Linked DNA regions of Ovis aries. The protein of the gene in region 2 binds, or shares a complex with, the protein of the main gene of each other region. Links are inferred from orthologs where the notes say so. Each region holds a gene or a part of one and is shown on either strand. Other genes may lie near its edges.

Region 1 (10,794 bases), on a different chromosome or scaffold from region 2:
CAGTCACTTATAGTAACCTCTTTCTGCCACATAGATGGGTTAGTTGAAGCAGAGGGGGTTTGATTATAGGAGAGGAGAGGTATTAGAAGAGAATAGATAACCCCGAAAAGGATAAAACTTTCCCATGACTAGCTCCATCATTGGCCCTGTCTGTCATGGGCTAGCAAACTAGACTGATCCAGACTAATTTGCCGAACTGGTTTTATGAAATCCCTACGGAACGAGGTAGGTATAAATAGATAGAAAAAACATTGTTATTAAAGAAACACCATTTTGCTTAGCCTCGAAATATTAGGGTTTTTTTTTTTAACTTTTAACTTAACCAATCATTCTTCAAACAAACAAACAAACACCCAGTAAGCCCCATGTGCTTAGCTGCTCAATTGTGTCCAACCTCTTGCGACCCCATGGACTGTAGCCCGCCAGGCTTCTCTGTCCATGGGAATCCTCCAGGGAAGAATACTGGAGTTGGTTGCCATGCCCTCCTCCGAAGGATCTTCCCAACCCAGGGCTTGAACCCAGGTCTTCCACATTGCAGGTGAATTCTTTACCATCTGAGCCACCAGAACCCAGTAAGCTAGTCAGAACCAAATGAAAAAATAGCAAATTAACCTTAGAATAGAGCAATTTCATCTACTACCCAGAAGCCATGGGAAGATACTGGTGTCCCTCTTTATATTCCAGAAGAGACTGACCACTACCTTCCAGACCTAGGAAGAGACCTAGGCTCTTCCAGACCTAGGCTAAGAAATTAGCCAAAGGGTAAGACAAGCAAGGCCAACAGATACCTTTGGGCAGGGTAGGTCCCACCCTGCACAAGGGTACCCAACTGAGAGGGAGCAAATGGAGGCTGAAATTCATTCTTCAACTGCCCTAGTGGCCTCCAACATCCCTGAGAAAGAAAAACATTTTTCTAACTGTTCCTCTAGTGTGGCTGCTTCTCTGCAATTTGTCTGCCCCCACGTGGCGCATGTTTCTAATTAGCACAAAGGCATCATATGAGCAAATAGTAGCCTTAAAAATTAACTTAGAGATCTTAGAGCCGTCAGGTGTTGCGAAGGCTGCAACCATGAATAACCTTTGTCTGGCCTTGGGCCTTGAAACTAAACATTGACTGAAGCTATCTTTCCCTTCCTGTTAACTCAGACTGTGAAGACAGTAATTCAGCTGTAAAATGAAAAGGAAGAAGAGTAACTCACATTTGCTGAAAATCTGAAAATCTATTAAGAGTCAGGAATCTGCTGAAGCTTCATCCCACTAGTAAGTGGAAGGGGCAGGAGATAATTCACCTTTGAGTGGGCACCATGACATAATAGGAAAAATCATGGGTTTTGGAGTCACAAGAGAGAACTCTGAATCTTTGCCCTGCTGTTTACTAGTTGGCAACTTGAAGTGAATATTTAACTTCTCTGGGCTTCAGTGAGGAGTCACAAAGATAATAGATATAAAGAGCTGAGCATAGTGCTGCCTGGCACATATAAGGCATTCAGCTCCTATGTCTTTTTCTGCTACCACCCTGACTCCAAAGTTAATTCACATTATTCACACCATTGGCCTTTAGGACCTCGTTCAATAGAGCATAAGGACGAGTCTGTGCTGTGCTGCTCTGCTCAGTCGTGTCTGACTCTTTGTGACCCCGGGGGCTGTAGTCTGCCAGGCTCTTCCGTCCATGGGATTTCCCAGGCAAGAATACATGGAGTGGGTTGCCATTTCCTTTGCCAAGGTAACTTCCAGACTTAGGGATCAAACCAACATCTCCTGCAATATCAGGCAGATTCTTTACCACTGAGCCACCTGGGAAGCCCCCAAGAATGGGTCTACCAGACAGAATATTGAAGTGAGAGTCAGGAGACATCGGTCCCAATGCCAGACACCTCCCTTGATGTACACTGAGTAAGTTACTCCCCTCTCCTGATCCCATCAATAAAACAAGAGAACACGTCTAGCTCTGATGCTGAAAGGCAAGAGCAGAGGAAATTACTTTTCTTGAGCACCTGCCATGATATACACACCAAGTTAGGCCCTTTTGCATACCTTATATACATATGCTAAATCAGCACTGTCCCATAAAACTTTCTGATGTTGGGAATGTTCTGTATCTGACAATATCTAATTTGGTACTAACACTAGCCATAAGTATCTACTGAGCCCTTGAAATGTGCATAGTGCAACTGAGGAACTAAATTTTTTATTTTATTTAAATTTAACTAATTCAAATTTAAATACCCATGTATTTAGACAGTGGTTACTGTATTAGATACTGCAGCTCTAAGATAATGAAGCAGGAATATTTGTTCCCATTTACTGTATGTTGAAACTGGGGCTTAGAAAAATTTATGAATTTGCTGAAAGTAACATAAATAGTAAATAAACCAGATTCAAAACCAAGCAGTAGAAAGTTTAGCAGCTTAGTACTGTCAAATACACCAGGAATTACCTAGGCTCCACTACTCACAAGTTATATAACCAAAGAGAGATAATTATAGTCTCTAGAATTCACTTTCATCGTCTATAAAATAGGGATAATCATCGCCTAATTTGTAGGCTTACTGTTGAGATTAATAGGTTAGAGCTATATAGAGTGTGGCTTTCAGCAACTGTGTTTCCTCACCACCCTTTTACCTCAGCCCCACACAGAAGAGGTTTAGACAGAAACTAAAAAAGATAACTGTAAGGTAGAGGGGGCATTTGGGAAAAATAAAAGCAAGAACGGAAACACTTACGAGCTTTCATATGTTATCTTTCATAGAATGGAGTTGAGGGAAGGTATGAAATCATCAAACTGCTTCCACTTATTTGGTTTGCTTCCTTGCCGTATTCTTGATACTCCAGTCAATGTTAGCCAAGGCAGGGAACAAGGTATATATAATGTATTCTGAGGCCCCAAAAGATAAGATAATGCAGCTGAACAACACAGTACTGTCAAGGGCATGGGCTCCAAGGGCAGGTAAAGGTCAATCCTGGCTCCCAAATTTTGTATGCACAAAATAACAGACACCACTTCACAACAGTCTTTCATCTGTGAAACAGGACAGATAGCATGCAGGGTGTCTCAATAAAAAACATATGTTTATTATTTTGCTTTACATTCTGTAGCACCCTCTAGTGGAGTGTACAAAAATAAGCATTATATTTCTACCCTCCAAGAAGTGTGCATTGGAATCACCAGAATAGTTTGTTATAACACAGACACCCAAACCCTAACAACTACTAGAATTTCTGATTAGTTTGGAGGTGAGAATCTAAATTTCTGACAATTCCCCACCAGGTGGTGCTATTGGTGTGTCTGGAAAACACTTTGAGAACCTCTGCTCTAAATCCCACCCCTCCCCAAAGGGTGCACGTGTGTGCCCAGAAACACATATGCACACACACACAAACGTATGGAATCTATAACTGAAATAAGTATAACTTGTGTTGTTTGATTTTATTAGTATGCCTCTAACAAGGATTTTGTGAAGAATTAAAGAATATCATGTGATATGACACATCTAAAATATAGAAAGCATGCAAAAAAACAGGATCACAGAACATAAATCCCAGGTTCTCAGAACTAGTAAGTGGTGGAATCGGGCTCAAAATTAGGCCTCTAATTAGGCCTCTAAACTCCAAAAACATAATAAAGTTTCACAGTACTACTGCAGAAGACAGGGTGAAAACACAAATATCCGATCATAATTTCAAAAGTGAAAGATCAGTTTTCAATCCCAGGGTCCAAGCCCAGTGAAGACAAATGTCTGTACTGACCAGAAAACCACCTGTGTTTTCCCTGCAGCAGAGCAGGGGTCAGGGTGAGGTGGTAAAGCGGGGCAGGTGGCAGCATTTGAAAAGATCCTAACCCCACAGAAAGGGTTAGAATCTTCGTATCTTCATCGGCGTCAGTGCTTGGGGGTCATTCATCAAAAATCCCATGGACGGAGGAGCCTGGTGGGCTGCAGTCCATGGGGTCGCGAAGAGTCAGACACGACTGAGCGACTTCACTTTCACTTTTCACTTTCATGCATTGGAGAAGGAAATGCAACCCACTCCAGTGTGCTTGCCTGGAGAATCCCAGGGACGGGGGGAGCCTGGTGGGCTGCCGTCTATGGGGTCGCACAGAGTCAGACACGACTGAAGCGACTTAGCAGCAGCAGCAGCACCCCCAAAAAAGGCAAGAAGAAAGAGATGGGAGGGGGAATTTTTTTTTTAAGGAGGAAAGAAGTAAAGAAAGGAGGTAAACATTTGAATAGAGCCCTACCTGGTAGGGCTATTAATAAGTTAATTTGATTTTTCTCGAGAAATGAAAGATATATATGATCTTTATAGATTGGAAAGCTCAGCAAATCAGAAAAAAAAAAAAAAAAAGATGGGGGAATCCCATAATTCCAGGGACCAAACAGCCAATCCTTTGCTGGAATTTGGCGGCATCTAGTGGCAAACTCAAAAGGTATAAACCTCACACGGAGAACTTTCTGGAAAATTAGAGTGCATACTTGCGTTAAGAGCACTCTGCCTGGAAATCAGAACAAGCAGGTAAGAGAGCCTCAGCTCCCACAGAAATTCGGAGTCCCTAGTGGAGGGGAAGTCTGTCGTGTACAGATATTCTCAGCAAAATATTGTGGCAGAACTGGACGCAACTTGGGGGTGGGGGATGGACGGGGGAAGGAGCGGGGGTTGGGGGAAGACGGCTATTAGGGAACAGCAAAGCTGCTTTTTGGAACTGCTAGTAAGCGAATGGGGGATTTGGTTGTTAACCGCTGCTGGGCTACGGCTTAGAACGGGATTTTTGATTCGGAGATAGACGTGGGAAGAAAGTGTATTTTTAGGGTTTAAAATCAAATCGATAGGGGAGACCGAAGTATTTCTAGCGAAAATCCTTTATCTCAGTGATGGTCGCCATAACTTAATTGCTTAAATTTCCGTTTTATAAGAATAATTTTCAAACATAAGTAGAAAAATGATCCGCATAGAACGCGCGCGCTCACGCGCGCACACACGCGCACGCACCCGCCCCAGAACACACACCAGCCCCGACGCTAGGGGCGCACGCCTGCGCACACCAGCCACCTCCAGCGCCACGAGGCCTGGCGTTCGCGCACACGCCAACGCCAAGGCCACGCGGGCTCGCTTGCGCACAGGAGCCCTGACACCGCGCGCCCGCAGTACCCCCCACCCCCAACTCGCACACACATCAAAACCCCCAGTCAACCTTTATTTTTTTTTTTTCCTCCGGGAGTTGCGCAAGAGGTTCGGGGGCGTGGCCGCAGATTTGACCTAGCGCTTCCCCACTCGCGGGGACCTTAGCTCATTTCCGCCCATCCTGTTTCCGCAGGCCACGTAGACACTTCCTTTCCCAGTTGGGGGGGAACCCACAATGCCTCCCTGCAGGAAAAAAAAAAAAAAGAAAGAAACCTCTGGGCAGGGGAACTCTGGGTCGTGAAAGTGGGCCACGTGAACACTCTGCCCTATAGACTTATGACCCAACCGCTGTCGCGCTTTTGGAGGGCGGGCTGAAAACCTAAGAGGGCGAACGTCATTGGTCAGAGCCCTCACTAAAGGAGAAAGGTAATTGGTTTCCTTCAAGCCTTAACGGTGAAGAAGCAGGTTGCTAGCACCCGCCTTTACTGCGGCGGAGTGTCATTGCTGACGTGGTGAGCTTCATCCAATCATTTGGTTATAGAACATTCTAAAACTTAGATGAGACGATTGTGATTGGCTGTAGGGCATAAGCCCGCCTCCAGGGTGACGTGTCTGCCTATGGATATCAGTTGCCAGAGAAACCTGGCTTTACTATGGCGGTTGGAGAGTCGGCAGTGATCACACGTCGTCGTCTGTCGGAAAGAACTGGATCCTCGTTTCAGGTTTCGGGGTGGGGGTGGGGAGAAAGGGTTGACGATTTCCTCTTATCGTCGCGTATACAGACAAGATTAATTAATGGCTTTACTATCGGGCAGAACTAGATTCGAATTCCTACTCGCCAACGCCCAGCTTGGGCTGGCTGTTCTTTCTGTGTCTCGGTTTCCATGTTTGTAAAATGGTGATAATAATAGTATCTGTCTCAGAGACTTGTGCCTCAGAGGCGTGTGCTGTATATTAGAGCGTATAATATACGACTGCTAGGTAATGTAATACGTATAATAACTTAATACGCACCGTGGCTCCGGAAGACGTTAGCTATTACTGTGGAGAGAAAAACCCGCGTAATAGAGTGAGAAAAAACGTAAAATTATGTAAAGTCGTTCCTTACAGTGCTTTTCCTATCACCTCCTTCCGTAAAAGAAATTCGAGATACAAAAGAGACGTATCAGTCTTTACCAATGAAATAATTTATTTGACAATTACCTCAAAATAGCGGGGATTGGAATTTTCCGTATTGAAAAGTTAAAAAAAAAAGCGGGGGTGGGGAGAAACGGAGAATGAGGAATGAGAGCTAGCTGGAGATGAACCACATGCGATGAGTAGGCCTTGTTTGAATCCTGATTCGGGGAAATCAACTATAAAAAAATACTTAAAGGTGCATCAGGAAATTTTAAAGACGGATTCGACATTTGATTTTTTTTAAGGAATTAATGACGATGTTTTTAGACGTTGTAATGATACTGTGGTTATGTTTTCAAATTGCCTGTAGCTTACAGAAATATACGAAAATACGAATTAAACAATAAAAGCATTCAGACTGGCTTCAAAATACCTTGATGTCTAGGATTTGCTTCAGAATTAGCTCAGCGGTAAGGGGAGGTGGCGAGGGGCATAGATAAAACAAAATTGGCACTAAATGAATCGTTTAAGCTGAGTGATGAGCTTATGGGATTCCTTGTATTGTTCTAGCTTCCTTGGTATATGTTTGAATTTTTCCATAATAAAATACAGAAAGTCAGCTATTCAGTGCTCTTGAGAAAAACAAGAGTGGGGGGGGGGGCGGCGAGCAGTGGGTGGGGTTACAGATAAAACAAGATGGCCTTCAGTTGGTAATTGTTGAAGCTGGATGATAGATTCGCAAAGGTTTATATTATTCCCCTACATTTTTATCCATTTGAAATTATCCTTAATAAAACTTAGAAAAAAGCAAAAACAAATTATCGGAAATCATGATAAATGTACAATAAGGTAAATTTGAAAATGTAGCCACAAGAAAGGGGGAAAAATCTTGTACGTATTTTATCAGCTTTGGTGTCCTTTGTGTATGTTAAAATGCATTGGTGGAAAACAAAACGTTCATCTCATATCTTTATGTCCTTTGCTGTCCCCTTGTTTGACCTTCTAGACTACCATCAGAAAAACTAAGTTTGCTGTGTAGTGAGGATCAGGTCTGATCCTGATTGCAGAACATCCCTCATTACAGAATCTTGGGTAAGTGCCTCCCTTCTCCTGGCCTCAGTTCTGAAACAAGATAATTCCACATAACCATGATAACTATCTAGGAATATTTTGAGGATTAATAAGGGCCTGTCGAGGAAAGCACTCTACATTCTAAGAATGGAAGGATGGAGCTAAGTCCATCTGTGCTTTCAGTATAGAAAGTGCCTAAAAATCAGTGGGCCCTGTAATCTTACATTCCTTGGTAAAGGATACTCTCTAATACTGCCTATAGTTAGAGCTGTGCATCTATATATATATTTTTTAAAGTTTGTGGCATTCCCTATGCAACATAATTGAGTGGTCAAGAGCAAATACTGACTTCCTGAATTTAAATCCTGGTTCTGCCACTCACTGTAGGATCCTGGGCAGAATACTTACTCACTCTGTCTCTAAAGTTCCTCATCTGTAAAATAAAGATAATGGTTCCTACTTCATTGGATTATTAAGGAAATTACATGTAAATTGTTTGGCACATATAAGTAGTTGATTTAATTAATCATTGTGACTATTAGTCCTTCTGGTACATCCTGTTTTACACACTTGTGCATATGCACATATGCACACACGCACTAATAAAAGCAATAGATACCTTTTTGGAGTTGTTAATAATAATAATAATAATAATACTGTTGATTTCTCTCCTGATTTTCCAGAAGCAGCGGTTACTACTAGAACTGAATTCTGAAATTATAACTTCTGACTTATCCTAACACTCTAGAAAGGTATTGAGTATGTTGATCATATTTATTTATAAGGAAATTTCTAGAAACTGTAATTTTTAACTAGCAAATCAAAACCATATTCAGTCTGCTAACAGGTTTTATATTATTCCTCTTTTGTCTCAGACTCAAAAAATAAAATGTTAAACATTAATGTTCCAAGATCCAGAATTGATATAAATGTAACTGACACAGTGTATATGCATTTAAAGATTTATTCCAACAAACCACTGGATTTGTTCACATTCATTTCTGACACAGTCATACACAAAAATGTCAGTAAATGGAGTCTGTATTCCTGAATAGCCCATCATTTGGGTGAGGAGATGAAAGAAGGTTTTTCAGTCTCTTGACAGCTTTATTTTCCCATGGAGTCACTATATTTTCCTTGCTACTTCCCGCCCCCCCTTCTGAAAGCTAAGTTGCAGAGGAGGGCACACTGCCCTGGTGGGAAAGATGCAACAGATTGGAAGGGGGAGGGCACAGAACCTCTTCATGGGAGACTATTTGGAGAGTGATTAAAGGTGAAAGAGAGGTGGACTGTTAGGCCAGTAGCAGCCCAGAGAAGGCAAGGGTCAAGGTAACCTGAAGGAGCCTCGAGGGGGAAAAGGACCTTGACCTGGGCCTCTGAGGATGGAGAGAATCCATAAGGGGAGAAGGAAACCAGTTCAAATGTTATGCATGTAAAGTATATGATATACAATGCTTAAGTCCAGCTGTATGTTAGAACCATGAATAAGAATAGATCTGAAAATTAATAATGATTTTAAATATGCATATTTTAGTGTAAATCTTTAGTCACTTAATTGATATGTGAATCAGTCTCATAATATACAAAGCTAAAATGTTACAGAGTAGGCCCAGGTTTCCTTTCCTCACGCCCCCATTTCTCTTACTCTCCTCAGAGTTAACCACTATATTATCAGTTCTATTTCCTTCTAGATCTCTAAATTATGCACCTGTTTAAAATGTAGGATATATATATATATAAAATATTCTTTGGTGTTTTCTTTTACATAAATATGCTATCATAGATACTGTTTGACAACTTGCCTTGGATGTCTTCATGTCCATTATAGAGTTGTTTGATTCCATTCACAGTGGCATTCCTTTAACTAGTATGATAGTCCATATAAAGAGTAAGCCATGTTTTGTTTTGCCAAATCACTATTGATAGTCCTCCAGGTTGACCCCAGTGGTTTTCTGTTTAATTTATACTTCACCAAACATCCTTGGAACCCCTTTACAAGTGTTAATTCCAGGGCAATATTTATGTCTTTAAATTATGATGATTAAACCAGTGTTGATACTGGTGGGAGAGGAAACATCATTATGACAGACTGGATAACCTAGAAACAGTGATACTTTTAAAAATGGAATAATCAAAAATCATTGGAAACTAAGTACCTTTAAAGATCCATATAATTTAGAATGCTATAAAACAATTCAAATCAGTGGGGAAAGGATAGGCTCTATAAATTAGAAAAAAATTAGGCATAATATTTGGAAGAAACTATAAAATACTGAGAGAGAATACAGGAAGTCATTTAGAATATTGATTTGGGAGCATTTTCCCCAGGCATGACATGCCAAAGTTCACAAAGGGAAAAGTTGACACATTTGTGTTTTTATACACACAGTGACCCACTTAGAAGAATAATGACAGTTTGGAAAAAATATTTCTAACACACAAAAACACCTAGTGTTTAATTATTAGAAGTCAATAAAAGACAAAACATAGTAGAAACAGGGACAAAATATATAAGAGATGGATACGTACAAATATCTGAACATATGCTCAGTATCACACAAATTCAAATAAAAATATCTTTCTACATATTAGATTACCCCCCTTTTTTTTTGCCAAAAAGATGTTTATCCAGTGTTGCTGAAGTTGTGGGTGAATAAGCTTAACATTTTTGCTGGGAGTACAAATTAAAACATTTCTTCACAAATTAAATTTATCTCTTAAGTCATCAAAGTTGTAAATAAGCAAACCCTTTGAGCAGTTGAGAATGCCCTTCTGAATACTTACTTAATTCGCTAATATATCTATACACTGATATCTGTTAACAACATTTCTGTAATAATGAAGTGTTGGAAACAGCCTAAATGTTCGTTTATATGGGACTGGTTAAATTATACTCTGTGGAGATTGTAGAACGATGTGGATGTTAAAAAGAATGAGCTAAGTATGTGGCCATAGATGCCTGTGATAAAGTGAGAAAACGTGAGGGGCAATATGTGTCTCACCTTTGTCAAGACAGTGTAAATCCATGATGCATAATCACAATAAGAGCATAACAGACACATTTAGTTTTAAAGTAGGTTTCTGTGTGAATGTGTACATAAAAAGATTTGAAGACATTCTGAGATCAGGGAGGGAAGGTGGTAAGAGGATGCCCATATATATCTATATATTTTGGTGTTTATAATTATGTAATTTTATGATTATGTAAAGGAACTATTACTCAAATGCTACCACAAAATTAATTACTTGGGAATATAGATTTTCAGTTCACAACAAATAGTTTTTGGGTGGGTTGAGGAATTAATATATTTTAAAAATCCATTAAAATGTCATCAATTTTTAAGCTTAATGGAAAAACCACATATTTCATCATATGCATCTTTAAAAATCTCATCAGACACTATAAACTGGGAGAAATATTTGCCCAGATATGACAATTGATAAGCAACTATAAAAAGCTCTTAAGAAGCAACTCAAAATGAATAG
Region 2 (11,019 bases):
ACAGGGCAACTGAGCCATGTGCCATAAGTAGAGAGTGGCCCTCTTCTCACTATAACTAGAGAAAGCATGTGTACAGCAACAAAGACCCAGAGCAATTTAAAAAAAAAATAATAATAATAATAAATTAAAAATTTTAAAAAGAGGAAAAAATGTTAAAGAAAAAGAGAATCTGCCTGCAATGCAGGAGACATGGGTTCAATCCCTGGGTTGGGAGGGGTTTAATCCCCTGGAGTAGGAAATGGCAGTCCACTTCAGTATTCATGCCTGGAAAATCCCATGGACAGAGGAGCCTGGTGGGCTACAGTTCATGGGGTCCCAAGAGTAGGACATTACTTTGAGACTAAATCACCACCATTATTCTCTGCTTATAACTGATCTAGTAAGTGGCTCAATGGATTTTAAAGCTGTAAAATTAGAGAGGTCGGTGGCTCAGAGGGTTAAGCATCTGCCTGCAATGCAGGAGACCTGGGTTCGATCCCTGGGTCAGGAAGATCCCCTGGAGAAGGAAATGGCAACCCACTCCAGTACTCTTGCCTGGAAAATCCCATGGACAGAGAAGCCTGGTAGACTACAGTCCATGGGATCGCAAAGAGTCAGACACGACTGAGCAACTTCACTTCACTTCACTTGTAAAGATAGCATTTTACTCTACTTTATTACAGAGGTCTGTCAGGGAGGATATATTGATTGGAACAAAGTGAAGAAAATATCTCATTTCAAAGTTTTACTAGCAAGTTTTCAAGATGATAGCTTTCTTTGTAAGACAGGGAAGCAGCAGAATTTAAGACATAGGCAAAGCTTCCCCTGAGGACATGCTATATGAAGAATTTAAATTTTCCTTTGACTTGGACTCCCGTCCAAGACAGTCATATGTTGCATCTGCTTTGAATCTCTTCTGATTCCTTCTACTTAGCCTTCAATGCAGTCTTCTCACATAGCTTTCTTGAACCAACTCTCTGAATTTACTATGACAGTGGCAATACAACAGCTGAGTTCTAGGTGGTGTCCAGATGTAAAGTCAGCAGGGATCTAACGCAAAGCTAAGAGTAGCACAAAGGGGCATCTGCATATGGATAACTTACAAGGGGTCTTAACAGTCTTAATGATGAGGATAAAGAAAGTGTCATTTATTGTATAATATTTCTCAGGCATTAACCTAAGTGCTTTGCATGGATGGTATTATTTCAATCCAACACTTCTATTGCACTCATCTCACACACGAGTAAAGTAATGCTCAAAATTCTCCAAGCCAATCTTCAGCAATACGTGAACCGTGAACTTTCAGATGTTCAAGCTGGTTTTAGAAAAGGCAGAGGAACCAGAGATCAAATTGCCAACATCTGCTGGATCATGGAAAAAGCAAGAGAGTTCCAGAAAAACATCTATTTCTGCTTTATTGACTATGCCAAAGGCTTTGACTGTGTGGAACACAATCAACTGTGGAAAATTCTGAAAGAGACGGGAATACCAGACCACCTGATCTGCCTCTTGAGAAATCTGTATGCAGGTCAGGAAGCAACAGTTAGAACTGGACATGGAACAACAGACTGGTTCCAAATAGGAAAAGAAGTACGTCAAGGCTGTATATTGTCACCCTGCTTATTTAACTTCTATGCAGAGTACATCATGAGAAATGCTGGACTGGAAGAAACACAAGGTGGAATCAAGATTGCTGGGAGAAATATCAATCACCTCAGATATGCAGATGACACCACCCTTATGGCAGAAAGTGAAGATGAACTACAAAGCCTCTTGATGAAAGTGAAAGAGGAGAGTGAAAAAGTTGGCTTAAAGCTCAACATTCAGAAAATGAAAATCATGGCATCTGGTCCCATCACTTCATGGGAAATGGATGGGGAAAGAGTGTAAACAGTGGAAACAGTGTCAGACTTTATTTTGGGGGGCTCCAAAATCACTGCAGATGGTGATTGCAGCCATGAAATTACAAGATGCTTACTCCTTCGAAGAAAAGTTATGACCAACCTAGATAGCATATTCAAAAGCAGAGATATTACTTTGCCTACAAAGGTCCGTCTAGTCAAGGCTATGGTTTTTCCAGTGCTCATGTATGGATGTGAGAGTTGGACTGTGAAGAAAGCTGAGTGCCGAAGAATTGATGCTTTTGAAGTGTGGTGTTGGAGAAGACTCTTGAGAGTCCCTTGGACTGCAAGGAGATCCAACCAGTGCATTCTAGTAGAGATCAGCCCTGGGTGTTCTTTGGAAGGAATGATGCTAAAGTTGAAACTCCAGTACTTTGGCCACCTCATTCGAAGAGTTGACTCATTGGAAAAGACTCTGATGCTGGGAGGGATTGGGGGCAGGAGGAGAAGGGGACGACAGAGGATGAGATGGCTGGATGGCATCACCGACTTGATGGACGTGAGTTTGAGTGAACTCCAGGAGTTGGTGAACAGGGAGGCCTGGCATGCTGCAAATCATGGGGTCGCAAGGAGTCAGACACGACTGAGCAACTGAACTGAACACTCCTATAACTTTGTTACTATTGCTATTTCTGGTTTACAGACTAGGAAACAGAGGCACAGAGTGTTAAAATAACTCTCAATAGCACACAACTCATGTTATCAAAGTGACAAAGAAAAGGAGAAAAAGGCAAGGAAAAAAAACGGAGCTTCTCTGGAGTATCTTCGCAACAGGAGCTTGTGGACCACCTATTTATTGTGCTGAAATTAATGCAATTCTGTCACCCTGACATCAGTTTTCAAGTTTCTTCATTCCCAGTTTAAAATCCCAAGAGAATGCATCTGATAGGTCTGGCTTTGGTCTGTCCTTGGTAAGTTAATGAGCTCTGATTAGCTGTACAGTAATGGAATACAGATATGGTTATCCCTACATAGAAGGGGCCCTTCCTAGAAATGCAGTAGTGGTTGTTAAGTGGGCAGCTACTCCAAGTACTATCTGCTCTATGAGTTAATGATATAAGAAGCTATGACATCTGTGTACAATTTTCTGCAGCTGATACATGGTCCAAGAATAATAACCGTCATTACATACTCTTGGTATAAGATAGGCTCAAGGATGTATTATACAATACAAGCAATACAATCAATATTTTGTAATGAATATAAATGGAAAAAACCCTATTTTATAATAAACTATAAGCGGAAAGCAACCTTTAAAATTGCATGAAAATAAAACATTAAAAAAACAAATATCAAATCATACAGTGTACACTTGAAAGTAATATATGGCACTTATGCTTCAATAAAAAAGAAACAAACAAACAAACAAAACACAAAAATTACATCAAGTAAAATACATAGGGTGTAAGTGCTATAATTTTTTTATTTCTTTGGAGTAGTGGATATAAATTGCCTGAATTGCAAATGATATATTATCTCTGTTTCCTTAATACAGAAAACTCCCTGAAGAAGCTCAAATTATACTGAAATGATGGATTTCTATTTCTATTTCTTCAATTTTTGACAGCATGTCCTTTCAGCTAATTGTGAATGAAACACCTGCTGAAAACAACAAAAAATGCTGGGTTAAAAAATCAAATAAACTGATGTACTAGTAACAAATGAAGAAATTCTCACAGGGGATGAAAAGAAAGGCAGCAAGAAAAATGAGAGCATACTGAGAAGTAAGTGAGGGCCAGGGGGCTTCATGCCTGTCTTGATCAGGAAACTCCAGAAGAAAAAGTCTCCCGTGAGAATCTGTAACAAGCCACTTTGATTTGAGGCCCAAATTCATTCAATCTGTGCAATTCAATAAACCTCAAGTGGATAATTTAATCTGGTACTAGAATTGATGATGCCTCCAAGAGATTTACAGAAGCAAATTCTAATAATCTCTAGGAAAACTTAGTTTTAACTCTGGCCTATAAGAATTTCCAGTTATAACCCTAGAAACACAGCACAGAGTCACAAATAATAACCCACAAGGAGGCAGACACCATGTGCAAAAGTTAGAAGAAACAGCAGACAGCACAAAAGACCCATAACATTTTCAGTACTGGATTTAACAGAGTACAGACTATGCTTAATTTGTATAGGAAATTAGAAAATGGCAGGAAATGAGAAGCAAACAGAACTTTTAAAACTAAAAAGTGTTTGAAAAATTTGAGATGGACCATATAAAAGGCCAAGAGGAACTGGAGGATAAAGTGAGAAATTCTTACCAATGTCCTATAGATGTTCTACGATATAATGGAGAAAAATGAGAAATAAACAACACTAAAAAGATAAAGGGTGAGAATTTTCTATAATTGTTGCAGGACATTATTCCTGATTCAGAAATCCTCTTAAATCCTAAGCATGGTTAAAAAAAGTGTGTGTGTTTTAAGGCAAGAGAAAGGGACGGAAGGAAGGAATTCAAACCTAGATTCGAGACAGCCAGAAGGAAGGGAGGGAGGAAGATTGAAGTCGCTAAATCGTGTCTGACTCTTGCAACCTCATGGACTATAGCCCGCCAGGCTCCTCTGTCCAACGGATTTTCCAGGCAAGAATACTGGACTGGATTGCGAGCCCTGGGTTGGGAAGATCCCCTGGAGAAGGAAATGGCAATCCACTCCAGTACTATTGCCTGGAAAATCCCAAGGACAGAGGAGCCTGGCAGGCTGCAGTCTACCAGTCTATGGGGTCTCAAAGAGTCGGACACGACTGAGCAACTTCACTTCACTTAGCAGAAAATAAGCTAGGTAATTCTCATTGAGACTCAGGTAAATTTCCTTCGCGATTCATCAATCTGACAGGTAACTCTCCTGATTAAGAACAGTGGAAAAGTCTAGTGTATAAGGAAAAAGGAGGGAGAAAAAAATGCAAATGCATAACGTGTTTCAGCTCCAATCTGAAAAACAGAAGTAGAATATTAAATTATGAACTAAAGACACATTTCCCTGGGCGGGTGGGGAAAAGTTAAGTAAAGACAGGTGGAAAATAACCATACTCAATCTCTACTGAGTGTTAACGTCTTTAAGAAAAAGGAAACAAACTCAGCAGTGAAGGGCTAAATATAACACGGTTGAACAAATGCGGGAAGTAATCGAAAGAAAAAAGACAACGTCTGGGGTGACAGACGTTTATACAGTTTATTGATTCAACTTTATATAGTTATTGCAAAAATAACCCACCCATTAGATATTAAGACATCATCCGTTATTCCTGGTTGCTCACTTTTTTTCCCGTGAAGGTGTACGTATAGGTCAATTACATTAGAATGAAGACTAGAAGGACCTCAAAATACAATGTATAAGAGGCTATTGAGAACTATTGATGCATCTTTCAACACAGGAAATATTTACTCCATGTTCTAAGTGTAAACTATTTTAGTTATACGGTAGCCAACCAGACGTCCCATTTGTATCTTTAGGATTGTTTACTGAGGATACATTCCAGCAACGAGCTCTGTTTTAAACAATCCCAATTGCCCGAACTTTGCTGATTATTCTAGCGTTGGAACCTTCGCCGTCTGCCTAGCACTACTTGAAATCCATGACTCACAAACGTCGGGGCATGGAATCACAGAAAGAAAGAACAGGTGAAAAGTTCTTCCCAGTTGTGTTCTGCAGAAGCATACAACTCCCGTCATCCCCCGTGAAAAATCAACAAATAAATAGCGGCACCGCATTTCAGATTCTGCTGCTCACGGCTCGCACCGGCGCCTGGTTTTTGTAGTTTTCTGGTGGAGAATTGCCAGCAAGTTCAAGCTTGTTGGGGAGGGACTAAAACTACACTTCCCACAAGGGGGCGGGGGCGGGGTCCAGTCGGTTTACGTCATTGATTCAGCCAGCCAATGATCACCCCGGGCGGCGGTGAGGCAAGCGCCGTCAGGCGCCAAAGTGCTTTTTTTTTTTACTTTTTTTTTTTTTCCGCCGGAGCCGAGCGGGTGCTGCTAGCGGAGGCGCCATATTGGAAGGGACAAAACTCCGGCGACAGCGAGTGACACAAATAAACCCCTGGACCCCTTCGCTCCCCCAGCTCTAAGGGCCGCGATGTTGTACCTAGAGGACTATCTGGAAAGTGAGTGGGCGGCGCTGGCTGGCCAGTCCGGGGTACCTGCGGGCGGGTGAGGGCGGGAGTAGACCGGCTGGCGGGATGGCGGGAGGGAGGGGGAGGCGGGGGATGTTTCTTTCTCACGGTAACTGCCAGCCTCGTTGTGGGCTGCGGGCTCTCTCGACCCCCCTCGACGCACGCACTCACGCAGTGACGTAAGCGCGTACTTTCGCCGTTGGCCCCGCCCCTCTGACGGAATCTCCCTTTGACAGTGATTGAGCAGCTTCCAATGGACCTGAGGGATCGCTTCACTGAGATGCGCGAGATGGACCTGCAGGTGCAGAGTAAGTCGGCGCGTTTGCCCTTGTTCGCTGCGCGCGTTCAGTGACAGACTTACGTGCCATCGACGTCAGCGGCTCTGGTGTTTGGCTGTCCTCCGGCTCATTCGCTAGTACAGAAGGAGTTGTCAAAAAGAACTGGCAATGCCAAATCTTGCCTCTTCTGTCTACCACACTACTTTTCTCCTGACTTTTACAAGAGAAGGTGGCATTAGAGCATGTATGCTCCTTTCTCGAATTTGGGACTGTGCAATAAAAGTTTCTGTACTTTCTTTGAGTATGTAGATACGATTTAGTGCACATCGGCATAAATGTTGCGAAGGTTTTGACTTGAGACTTTATGTGTAGAACGTAAATTTCAGCATTTCTATTTCTGTTAAAGTTCATGCTAGGCAAAATTCAAGAGCGGACAACACATAGAAGCACAGGTTTATGTAGTTCTTTAGAGACCGTGGTGAACTTGGAATGTCCCATTTGAAAAGTTACATGATAAAGGATGCATTCTCAACTGTCAAACAGTATGATAGTTTGTCAGTCAAAATGGGAAAGGAAATAAAATTTTACAGTAAAGCTTCTTGTCTGCTGTAGCAAAATTTTTCTGTTTTTCTTTTGGTTATAGCTTGGTAGTCTGGATACATTTTCCCGAAAATAACCTTGCTGTTTCACAGAGCAGTATTTAGTTTATATGATCATGTTTTTGATTTAGAGAGGGTAGAGAATAAATAACTTTAGAGGTAACATGGTAAATACAAGGCAAAATTTTGAAACACGAAAACAGTGCTCAGTACCCTTGTAGTCCATCATGCTCTGAAAGAACCTCACACACCTTACCCCTTTGTGAAATGAGTATAATATAGCTTGTCCAGCTGTCTTGTAGATACGCTATATTAAAAATTAAGAATGTGAAATGAATTATGTGATACGTAATTAAAATGTATAACCCAGTGTGCTTTGTTGGCTGTGTGTCACTCTTTTGGTTTGGAGAAGTGTAAGTACTCCTTAACTGTTTAAGGGCTATTCCTGCAGAAGGCATATCTTGATCCCCTGTGTTCTGGCTGCATTTAGACTATAAATAGAATTCAGATTGAGGTAAATTCTTGTGCTGACAGATTTTCTTAGAAAAGTATGGTTAGGGGAAGATCTGGGTTTTGGGGTATGATAAGGAGGAAAGGAGTATCACGGAAAGCAATCAGAGAACAGAACGTTCCAGAGTGGGAATCTTGAGGTAGCTAAGAGCCTGTCCCCCCACTTCTCTGTCACCGCTGCACATACTTCCATACCCATTGATCATGACTGTTCTTTTATGTGATACATAATGCAGGGTGATACATCATGGAAGTCACCTGCTGTTCACATTGTAGTGTAGACGTCTGAATTCTATATTTCTTCACCTTGCTCACAAAATTCGTTTTAACTTTAATGTATTTGAAATGCTAAATATTTGCTAAAGTAGTGTTTTCTACAGGATGGAGCGTAGTCATCAGATAAATCTGAGTTCATTTTAGGGCTTTACTGACTTAATTCATTGGCCTTGACCACAGTACCACTTCTGAGGGATTTTTTATTGTCTTGAGGATTAAAAGAAATACACATAAATTAGAATGTTTAGTACCTGATACAAAGTGGGCATTCAATAAAGGGTAGTTATTATTTTGTACTTTATATCACAAATGTTAAGTTCTCTAACAGTTTCGACTTGATTATATAAATCAGAGGTTTTTTTAAACTTCCATTTTTTACAATAATTAGAATTGTCTAAATTTAATAGGTATTATGAATTAACAAAAGATACCTCTTTGTAAGGTAAGAGATACATTATTATGCACTGCAAAGCTCCCAAACAATATAGTAAAAAGTTTTCCTCAGTTTACCCAGCAACAAAATCCCTTTAATTTTTTCTCTTTTAGCATATAAATGACTGTTCTTAGCACACATTTCAGAAAAAACTTACCTCAAATAAATAATATTGTATATGTGGTGCTTAATGGTATATAGCAAAAGGTTAAAACCTTTTTATCACATTTTCTTGTTGAGAGAAAAGTGAAGATTATCTAGTAGTGCTTTCAACAAGAAATTGTGTTTGGGCGCATCTGCCTGACTTAATATCATTAGTTTGTGACCCCAAGCCTCTACTAGTCAACAACTATGGGATGGAATCTATCTACGTTTGCTGACTACTTTGACTATCCGAAACAGTTTTGAAGTAACAAAAATAAATTTTCATTAGGAGAAAATTATAACTTTTACTAAGGTAATTAGTAAATTATATATATATCACATTTATAAATATATTTATAAAGTATACTTATATTATTAGAGTATATATTTATAGTATATATTAGAGTATAATATATATTATTACATAAAGCATATTTATATTATTACAACATGACATATTTAAATTACAGACCAAGTAAAAGAATTATGTGGTCAGATATTTTACAAAATAAATTGCAAAAATAAATTGTCAGTAGGGAAGGTTATAACTTTTCTTTACGAAGATAATTAAGATATATTTATTTATTTATTTTATTAGAACGTGACGTATTTAAGTTACAGACCAAGTAAAAGAGTGTATGTAGTCAGATATTTTCACATCACATCTTTCTTCACATCAAAGCATGTATATTCAGTATATGAGTTTGGTCATCTAAATATGAAATGTTTTTATTATGTCCTAGATGCAATGGATCAGCTAGAACAAAGAGTCAGTGAATTCTTCATGAATGCAAAGAAAAATAAGCCAGAGTGGCGAGAAGAACAAATGGCTTCCATCAAAAAGGTGTGTTCAACGCTCTGGATGATTTATCTGTAAATACTGGAACTCTCCGAGGAAGATAGGGGATTCCCAGGAGTCGTGACGGTAAAGAATCCACCTGCCAGTGCAGGAGACCTAAGAGACTCGGATTTCATCCCTGGGTCAGAAAGATCCCCTGCAATAGGAAATGGCAACCTGCTCCAGTGTTCTAGCCTGAAAAATTTCATGGACAGAGGAGCCTGGCAAGCTACAGTCCCTGGGGTCACAAAAGACTGAACACGACTTTCAGCAGTTGAAAATTGGACGTAACTGAGCACAGCACAGCTGAGGAAGACATTTTAATATTAAATGGGGGGGGATATCAAAATGAGAGAAAGTTATCAGTAGCTCTTTAGAATTTTAAAATGACTTACAAAATTAAAAATGATTCATTACATTTTAGAGCTTCAGGTGTAGGAACTTTCAAACATTGAAGCATTTTGGTAATTTAGAACAGTATTTCAATAATCAGTGACTAATCAGAGAGTTACAAAGCCATTTAAAAAGTACATTTTTTTCTTTTAATTTGTTTTATTCTAATTATGGGGAATTAAAGTTCCCTTGTCTTAAGATCTATTGGGTTGGCCAAAAAGCTCATTCAGCTCATAAAATGTGATGGAAAAACTCAAATGACCTTTTTGACCAACTCAGTATAGTATCTTCCAATTTGGGCAACAGACTGGGATGAAAATTAGCAACCTTGAAGCATATTTCATATATTGCTAAGTACCTATGTTGGTGGAATCATAGGAGAACAGAATGCTGACAAGTTTTGTAGTACTTAGAGCTCCCTTCCAGATTAGAATGGGTAGCAGCTCTCTCCTCAAGGTTTGCTTTAGAGATATGGTCTAGTTAATTTGCGGACATATTGGAAGAATGATTTACAAGCCCTGGGTTTGATCATGACTCTGCAGTTTGACTTTGTGATGTGGGACATGTCCTTTAATATCTCTGAGTAATAATGGCTCCCTTACCCTTACCCTTCATAGAATTATTCAACTGAGAAAGAAATTTGGAAACTACTTGTGTTATCTGTTTTACTACATGAAGGGAATATTATTTCTGTTAGGAACAAAAACATGAGAATCTTTTGTAGAATTAACCCTGACTTGCAGGATACCTGGAGGCCCGAGTGTGTGTGAGTATAGACATCACACATATACATCCTAAAGTCATTCATCATCCCCTTTTCCTACTAAGTTTCTGGTGCAGCACAGCCTGGATATACCCTAAAAACTCTTGACAGTTCATGGAAATTCATAGAATTTAAGAAAAAATAGTTTGTTTTATACTGGAGAGAACTGATACCTAGCTTAAAATGAGAGTCGCAGAACAACTGCACAATGGATGTGCAGGTCAGAAGCCTTTCAGTAGTTCTTTATAATAAGTGTTAAAAATGGAGAGTGTAAACACTCTTTACAAACTAGATGAATCCTAAGTAACATCTATTTTTAAAGAAAAAGAATTACTCTTTGGCTGACCTAATTTTGACTAGTATAGCTAGACCTGGATGGTGTTTATTTGTTATCTCTTTTCTAGGAATTCTGAACATCTTCCTTTAATCCTTGGTTGTTGTCTAAGATTTCTAATACTATCCCATCCCCACCCTATACCTAACTGGATTTTTATGGCTCATGTATAATGTATGTTCCTGAGTGCTTAGTCACTCAGTCGTGTCTGACTCTTTGCAACCCCATGGACTGGAGTCCTCCAGGTTCCTCTGTCCATAGGATTCTCCAGGCAAGAATACTGGAGTAGATAACCATTCTCTTTTCCAGGGGATTGTCCCAACACAAGGATTGAACCTAGGTCTCCCTCATTGCAGGTTGATTCTTTACCATCGGAGCCACCAGGGAAGCTCTGTAATGACTGACAGTGATAACAAGCCATGATAATGCAAATGCAGTTATAGGTCCTGGATACACAGATT

Evidence for each region. The genes of interacting proteins can lie anywhere in the genome.
Region 1: ING3 (region 2) and MORF4L2 share a complex: the UniProt entries of both Homo sapiens proteins name them as parts of the nuA4 histone acetyltransferase complex. The link is inferred for Ovis aries from reciprocal best matches to the Homo sapiens genes ING3 and MORF4L2.

The regions. Positions count from the first base shown.
Region 1 is NC_056080.1:129,267,291-129,278,084, reverse strand, and holds the start of MORF4L2 (mortality factor 4-like protein 2), read left to right. Parts: upstream 1-4,453; 5' UTR 4,454-4,512; intron 4,513-5,768; exon of another isoform or gene 5,769-5,840; intron 5,841-7,243; 5' UTR 7,244-7,329; intron 7,330-7,991; 5' UTR 7,992-8,060; intron 8,061-10,794. UniProt on the Homo sapiens protein: Component of the NuA4 histone acetyltransferase complex which is involved in transcriptional activation of select genes principally by acetylation of nucleosomal histone H4 and H2A.
Region 2 is NC_056057.1:87,067,410-87,078,428, forward strand, and holds the start of ING3 (inhibitor of growth protein 3), read left to right. Parts: upstream 1-5,835; 5' UTR 5,836-5,953; coding exon 5,954-5,981; intron 5,982-6,226; coding exon 6,227-6,298; intron 6,299-8,973; coding exon 8,974-9,074; intron 9,075-11,019. UniProt on the Homo sapiens protein: Component of the NuA4 histone acetyltransferase (HAT) complex which is involved in transcriptional activation of select genes principally by acetylation of nucleosomal histones H4 and H2A.